2 linked regions of the Oryzias latipes genome follow. The protein of the gene in region 1 purifies or fractionates together with the protein of each later gene. This does not show direct contact. Links are inferred from orthologs where the notes say so. Each region holds a gene or a part of one and is shown on either strand. Other genes may lie near its edges.

Region 1 (3,818 bases):
TCAGGTGGTAAAGTTGAAGGACGTCTTTCCTCACGGCACAGGCTTTGTCCTGGTCTTCAACTTCATGCTGTCAGATCTCTCTGAGGTGATCAGAAACCACCAGCGACATCTGACCCCAGCACAGGTCAAAGGCTACATGGTGATGTTGCTAAAGGGTGTGGCCTTTCTACACCAAAACAACATCATGCATCGGGTGAGTGCCTGTGTGTAGAAAACGTGGTAGTCAGGTTTTTCTCTTGGTAAAGGAAGGAGCCAAAATGTAGTGTATTTGCACATTTCCTTTTCTACTTAGTAGTTTTGCATGTTTCACCTTTCTTAATTTGTTTATTAGCGACCCCTGGGTGGAATACTAGATGAGCACTTTCTCACCTGCAGTTGGAATGAAGGAGAGGAGATCTTGGGGTGTTTATTTCTGTTGACCGCTGTTTCGTGCCACTTTGTTGCTATCGGGTTCTTTGCGGTCACCCTTTCTGGTCTGGTCTTGGTCAATCAGGTTCATTAACTCATACAAAGTCAACTTATTTTATCCCTTTGGTTTTTTTGTGTAAAAAAAATCAAAACAACAGAACTGACTGTGGCATATCAGGGGTTGACATAGCCCAGAAATTTGCACTGGCCCAGAGGGCCAGTAGTTTTTGAAAGTTACTGGCCCGACACCGCCCACAGCGAGACCCGCCGCTCCGCAGGTGCTTGCAACTTTTGGGGGGTCCGGGTGCATGCCCCCGGAAAATTTTAATATGGTGCAATTTGGTGCATTCTGGTGACATCTAGCACTTATTTATACACTTTTCAATGACTGAAAATAGACCATATCAAACTCAAATCTGCTCTAGTCTGTTTCAGATTTTTTGAAGAGAGCACTGCAGTGTAGTAGTTAACACTAGTTAAGAAGTTTTCATGCTGCCTCTAATCACTGCTATTTCACATTTGTTCCTAATCAATAGTTAAGAAGTTTTATTGACTTTTTTGCTCTGACTGCCTTAAGGTTCTGCTTTTTGTTACTGTTGCAAAGTTACATTTACTTTTTAGTTACTTTAGTTACCTAATTAAATTAAATAATTGAAAAATTAAATACAATTAAATTACTGAGATCATTCAGCTAACTAGAAATACTTACTGCTTACAGTGTTGTAAAGAAAAACAAAATTAAGTACTTTGACATTATACTCCGTTTGAGTCTGAGATTCAGGTATTTTGAGTTGCCTTTGATTCTTTGACATTCAGCTTAAAGCTTAGTGCATACAGTTTCATCTTCAATGCATTCATTAAATATCTTGCTGTCCATAGTACTAATTCCACCCGTCACTCCATCTAACATATTCCTATCTATTCCTGCCATGTCTTCCACATCTCTGACATGCTTCAGTGTCTCTTCAGTGACGGTGTTGGATTTATAATCATCGCGGTGAAAAACCACCAGGGGGCGCGCTGATATGTGTGTCAGTTTAAATATATCTGCCTAAAATGTAATAATAACCCACTGGCTTGTTCCTTCGTTGTTGCCGTTTAACATTGTTTAGTATTGAATTGTTACATTCAATAAAGTTTGAAAAAAAAATTGAGTGAGCGCGTGCCGCGTGGTGCTCGGCAGTGAAAGCCGCGCAAGCAGGCGGGAGAGGAGGAGAAGAGTGATAAAAGGTTTCCCATAGAAACCCTTGAAGTCTGAACACAGGACTAGCAGAAAAAGTGAATTATAAAGACGAGGTAAATCTACACGTTTTCGCAAAATATACTTTATTGAAAAAGGTGAAAAATGTATTAATTGTTAGATATTTTAGTGGCCCGAGTGGACAAGTAAAAAATAAAGTCTTGTGGTCCGCACTGCTCGAAAAACAGGACCGGGCCAGCGGACAAATGGCTATGTCGAGCCCTGCATATGTGTATGACAGAAGCACCCCAAACCCATCGGCTCCTCAGGAGGCTTCAACAGCAAAGTCACCTCAACAGAAGGGCTTTCCTTTTATAAAGAATGTGGGCAAACATTTGAAACTCTGCTGATGTCAGCTTAACTTCTCTGATCTGCAGGACTTGAAGCCAGCCAACCTCCTTATCAGTTCCTCTGGTCACCTGAAGATTGCAGACTTTGGTTTAGCCAGGCTCTTCAGCCATGAGGGAAGGCGGCTCTACAGCCACCAGGTGGCCACCAGGTAGAGCCAAGCAGTGCTCTGCATGAACCTGAAAGTGCTCAATGTTTTAGACAGGAGCTCTGATCCGTCTGTGTTTAGGTGGTATCGAGCTCCAGAGCTGCTGTATGGAGCACGCCGCTACGATCAGGGAGTGGACCTGTGGTAATATGACGCATTGTAACAGGATGTGTGTGTTTGTGTGTGCAGGTGCACATGTCTGCATTTGTGTACACAAATGTGACAAATGTGAGCAGACACTCATGTCCATCTGAGTGTGTGTGCAGGTGCATGTGTCAAGTCTGTGTGTGTGTCTGCACACATGCAAATGTCTTTGTGGTGTCCATGTGGTTTTGTGTGTGCAGCTTCTCATATGATGCAGGTGTGTATGGATGCACAGTTGCACATACTATCCTTGTGTTTTAGGGCGGTGGGCTGCATCTTTGGCGAGCTCTTGAACTCGTCTCCTCTGTTCCCAGGAGAGAATGACATCGAGCAGCTCTGCTGTGTCCTACGAGTCCTGGGAACACCAACGGTGGACAGTTGGCCGGTGAGATTATAGTGGACAACAGCATGGAAGTGTGTGCTGTTGTGCTCAATAGACCAACACTGCAGGGGTTGACATAGCCCAGAAATTTGCACTGGCCCACAGGGCCAGTAGTTTTTGAAACTTACTGGCCCTGCCTGAAAGTTACTGGCCCGACACCGCGCATAGCGGGACCCGCCGCTCCGCAGGTGCTTGCAACTTTAGGGGGGTCTGGGGGCATGCCCCCCCGGAAACTTTTAATATGGTGCAATTTGGTGCATTCTGGTGACATCACTTATTTCTACACTTTTCAATGACTGAAAATAGACCATATCAAACTTAAATCTGCTCTAGTCTGTTTCAGATGTTTTGAAGAGAGCACTGCAGTGTAGTAGGTAACACTAGTTCAGAAGTTTTCATGCTGCTTCTAACGGCAAATATCGCAATAAATCATAAACCTTAAATGTGTTAAAACAATCTAATGGCAGTGTCAGGGTCCGCTCGGCAGAGATTGAGCCACAGGACAAAAAGATCTTCAAATCAGGGGTTTTTATTTTACCCAACACAACACGACAGGGGCTCAAATTAAAATGGGGTCAACTTAACAAAAATGTAACTGAGCGAATCAATAACAAAAGCTCAAACCAACTGAACTCAAACTGACCCCCTTACAGGAAACATTAGGGAGATTTTATACTGGCTGATCAGACCAATGACACAATAGGGAGGGGAGCACAAATACAAAACATTCAAAACCTAAATATTAATTAAAGTAGTAAATTACTAGTAATTTAACGCTTCAACAGAAACTGAACTTGTACCTCAAAGCAAGCTTAACATATTCCAAAAAATACAAACAATAGTCCAACATAAGAATACACTTCGTCTTTCCCCTCCATCTTCTCCAAATGGAAGTTGTCCATGCTCCTCCCTTTCCAAGTCATCAGGAACTTCTTCAGCTCCTCCCACTGCCACATCATCAGGAAGTTTCCTGCTCCAGCCTCTGCCCCAGCATCAGGCCTCAAACAGAACTCAAAGAATAGAATTACTCAAAACAATACAAAATTAACTAAATGTGTGCACAAGTCATTAAGTCAATTTTGTTATGAAATGTGTGAAATAAAATGAAATGGTTTATTCAAGAGAAAAATATAACAAATGAACTTAAC
Region 2 (3,918 bases), on another chromosome or scaffold:
AGGGCCACATCAGCGTGCCGGCTGTCCTGGGGCCAGCTATAACTCATACATGTAACTAAATGTAATGAAAAATAAATGTACATACTCTTTAATGTTAAATAACTCATTAGTTATTTATTATAACTTTTTAAAGTGACAATTACAGCGGCATAGAAAACATGTGTTTGCATGGTACTCTAGCATAAATCCTTTTACATTTGATTCTGACAGGTTAGGTTATATTGGCAGTGTTTAAGTCCTAATGGATAGTTGCCCAATCAGATATTTTCAGATTCCCCCAAGATATGAATAAATACAAACCAATTTGTATTTTTATTCTAAAAAACTAAAAACTTTTATGCTCTCGCGGCCCACAAAAAATGACATGGTAGGCCACATTTGCCCCCTGGGCCTTAAGTTTGACACATGTGGTCTAGAGTGAAGTAAAGAAATGTCTTTTGGGCTCATGACACCAAAAATACTTCCGAGTTCTTCCTTTGCTTAAAGTGAAAACTGCTAATAAGCAAAGTTTCCCGGACATTCTTGTTAAAAAATGTCCAATCGGCAGCACATCGGAGGCAGAAACAACACAGAGATCGTTTAAGCTTTAAAAGTAAAAATGTGTGAGGAAATCCAGGAAGAATCACTCACAGCTTTGATGACTAAACTTGCGTTTTCATCTTTCGCTATTCTTTGGTCACATTTGGATTTATGTGACACCAAAATCAGTTGAAATGTGTTTTATAGTTTACAGTCCAGAATGCAGCTGCTTCTTTTTCACAGGAACCAGAAAACATGAAGACATCAGAGATTTTACATTTCACCACCATCTGAAAGAATTTACAGGACTGACCAACAAGCAGTTCTCTGTTTTTCAAAGTAAAAGTTCTGTGCCAGCCACTGATTCTTTTACCACCCTTCAATCAGTGAAACACATTTATCAGTAAAACTCCTTTATTCATTTCAAATTTTTGTTTTTAACTAGTAACAATGTTTAAGTACATTATTTATTGTGTTTTTCTATCTTTGAAACTTATTTGGGCGAACTTGTCTGGTTCTTCGGTTCATCAAATGTTTAATAATGATTGGAACTGTGTGACATCAGGATCTAAAGCATAACAGATCTTTCTGCTCTAAAAGGTTCGCGTTTTCGTGGTGAAGGATGTTCTCCGTCGTTTCATGAGTGAGCACAGGGTGTTTTTTAATGGAACCATTAAGGGGGCTTTTAATCTGAAAGCAGAGAAAAGCTTCTTGAAACATTAAAGCGATGCAGAGTGCTGCTGCGCATGCGCGAGGATCTACCGCTGTGACGAAGTCAGCCTGAGTGTCCACTGTGGCCCTTCCCGTTGGCGCCGTGCGCTCTAGACTTTTCTATTCGCAGTCTAACTTCCTGCGTGAGCTTGAAGGATCGGGACGCGGCTGTTGGACCAAAACAAGGCTGGAGGTGAATGTTCGCGTTCTAATTTACAATTTTAAGAACTTTTCTGTGTGTGTTCCTTCGTTTGGAAGTGATTCTAATCGACGACTTCGTTTTGTCAAAATGTCAGTGTCACTAAAAACTCTTAGTTTGATGGATGCAAATAAGCTAAGCCGCTGGCTCATAGCTAGCTAACCCAGCCACCTTCAGCTAACGCTAGCATTAGCATGTAGGTTTTGACCGAGAAACCTCGTTACTTTTTAAAAACCCACGGAAACGTCAGGTTTTCTGAAGTTTGGAGTAAAACTGTCTGCATGCAATGTTGGGGAACTGTAACGGATATCCTGGTCGGTACGTTAACGTCAGATTCTGCTGTTTGAAGAGCTTTTCTGTGAAGCTCAGAGATAAGCGAACAGAAAACGAGCTTCCTCAGTTTGACTGTCTTCTCCAGAATGGAGACCGTGGAAGCTGCAGACGGCCGCGAAAACGCTTCTTCTTCTGCCAGAAAGAGCGGACAAACGTCGTTGCTGGACAGCGGAGAAGACTTCGAGGTTGTGGATGAAGAGGACTTTGATGAGGAGCCTCCTCCTTTAGAAGATGCGGGAGGTGGGATGGAGAAAAGTTCAGATGAGACGGCGAAGAGGTCTCCACATGAAGAACCAGAGGCTCCGGCTCAGCTGGATGAGTGGTTGGATGTGTTGGGTGAGTCTGGCACTTGTTTGGCCTCTTCCCGCTGATGTTTCTTGGAAGAGAGAACAGTTCTTCATTTGTCTTTTGAATCTGACAGGTTCTGGAAGTAGTTGTGAGTTCCAAACAAGCATTTGGTGGTAGTTCTTGACAAGCCAACAGTTCTCTCTCTGCAGGAAATGGCCAGCTGAAGAAAAAAGTCACGGCGCCCGGGAAGGGACGAGCCAGTCGGCCTCAGAAGGGTCAGAACGTACGGATCCACCTTAAAGCTAGCCTGATCGATGGGACTCTGGTGGAGGAGCAACCTAACTTCTCCTTCACTTTGGGAGATTGTGATGTTATCCAGGTAAACCCTTAGTGGTGATATATGTCAGGGTTAGCCCCAACGCTCAAAATTACGTCTGCAGGTCTTGTTTTGTGGATTTGTCTCCGGTCAAACGTCAGTCAACACTTTTCTTCCAGGCTCTGGATCTGACGGTCCAGCTTATGGAAATGGGAGAAAAGGCTCTGATCCAGTCAGATCCTAAATATGCATATGGAGACAGAGGAAGGTGGGAGATAAGCTACTCTACATCAAACGCTGCAAATTGGTGATATAGAGAATTTTAACCATCCTTTAGAAAGATGGTAGCAGAGCCCAGAGTCTGAGGAGCCTCCAAATGAAATACTTTTTATTTTACTCACAGGTGGTTTAGTAAGTGGGAGGGGCTTTTTGACACACGTGGTCAAAAAAGTCTTGACATGTCTCACATTTACATAAACTTGGGTCAATAAGACCTTAAAAAGCAAACATTTGTCTTTAATTCAAGAGAATCTGTGTCTTTTCCTGACATGGGGGTAAAGGAAAGGAATCACTGGGAAATAAACTGTATGGATCCCTGGAGATTCACAGAAACAGACTGACTATGCCATCCTTTTTTTTTTGTTGGGGGGGGGGGGCGCTGCTGTTTTTGCTTCAGTCACTAAACCTGCCTGTTTTTTTTTTTCTCGTGTCAGTCTTGAACCTCGTGTTCCTCCAAACGCTCAGCTGTCCTTGGAAGTGGAACTCCTGGAGGCCACTGATGCCCCCGATGTGGAGCTGCTGCCCCCCGCAGAAAAGATTGCCCTCGCCAGTCGTAAACGAGAGAGGGGCAACGTCCATTACCAGCGTGGAGACTATGCGTTTGCAGTCAACTCCTACAGCATCGCCCTGCAGATAGCAGAGTCCAGTTCCAAAGGTGAGACCTTCATGACGCCGTCCCGCTTTCCCGGCAATGAAAGCTCCTCCCCCTGATCATCTTGCGGTGACTGATCAGTAACTGCAACTTTAAACCAAACAATGACGTGAAAATCAAAGCCCTGCAGATGTGAATGAGTCTTCAGTGGATCTTTTTAGCTTTTTTGCTCTGATCTTAGATTGAGATTTATTTCAAACATGTGAAGCAATACAAAATAATAATAATAATACATATAAAAAGAAGGAAGTTTGATATTGTCGTTGTGTTTTGTGGGACAGTGGACATCCGGCCGGAGGAGGAGGACGAGCTGCTGGATGTGAGAGTGAAGTGTCTGAACAACATGGCCGCCTCTCAGCTGAAGCTGGACCATTACGATGCTGCTCTGAAGTCTTGCGTTTCAGCTCTTGAGCATCAGCCAGACAACATAAAGGCACTTTTTCGCATGGGCAAGGTTGGCCTCAGTCCCGGAGCTTCTTGCTGCTGCTGAATGTCTGCTAAATGGTTGTTCTTTCCTCTAGGTTCTCTCTTTGAAAGGTGAATACACAGAAGCTATTCAGACCCTGAGGAAAGCACTGAAGCTGGATCCCAGCAACAAGGTCATTGAACTGTTTTCTCTTG

Evidence for each region.
Region 2: the proteins of cdk20 (region 1) and fkbp8 purify together in Homo sapiens (affinity purification with mass spectrometry; 5 studies listed by BioGRID and IntAct, with this or other methods). This does not show direct contact. The link is inferred for Oryzias latipes from reciprocal best matches to the Homo sapiens genes CDK20 and FKBP8.

Annotation. Positions count from the first base shown.
Region 1 is NC_019865.2:33,771,894-33,775,711, forward strand, and holds part of cdk20 (cyclin-dependent kinase 20), read left to right. Parts: intron 1-4; coding exon 5-193; intron 194-2,025; coding exon 2,026-2,147; intron 2,148-2,225; coding exon 2,226-2,288; intron 2,289-2,549; coding exon 2,550-2,673; intron 2,674-3,818. UniProt on the Homo sapiens protein: Required for high-level Shh responses in the developing neural tube.
Region 2 is NC_019862.2:8,042,413-8,046,330, reverse strand, and holds the start of fkbp8 (peptidyl-prolyl cis-trans isomerase FKBP8), read left to right. Parts: upstream 1-1,278; 5' UTR 1,279-1,715; coding exon 1,716-1,747; intron 1,748-1,847; coding exon 1,848-2,098; intron 2,099-2,259; coding exon 2,260-2,429; intron 2,430-2,545; coding exon 2,546-2,634; intron 2,635-3,079; coding exon 3,080-3,300; intron 3,301-3,578; coding exon 3,579-3,751; intron 3,752-3,818; coding exon 3,819-3,896; intron 3,897-3,918. UniProt on the Homo sapiens protein: Constitutively inactive PPiase, which becomes active when bound to calmodulin and calcium. Seems to act as a chaperone for BCL2, targets it to the mitochondria and modulates its phosphorylation state.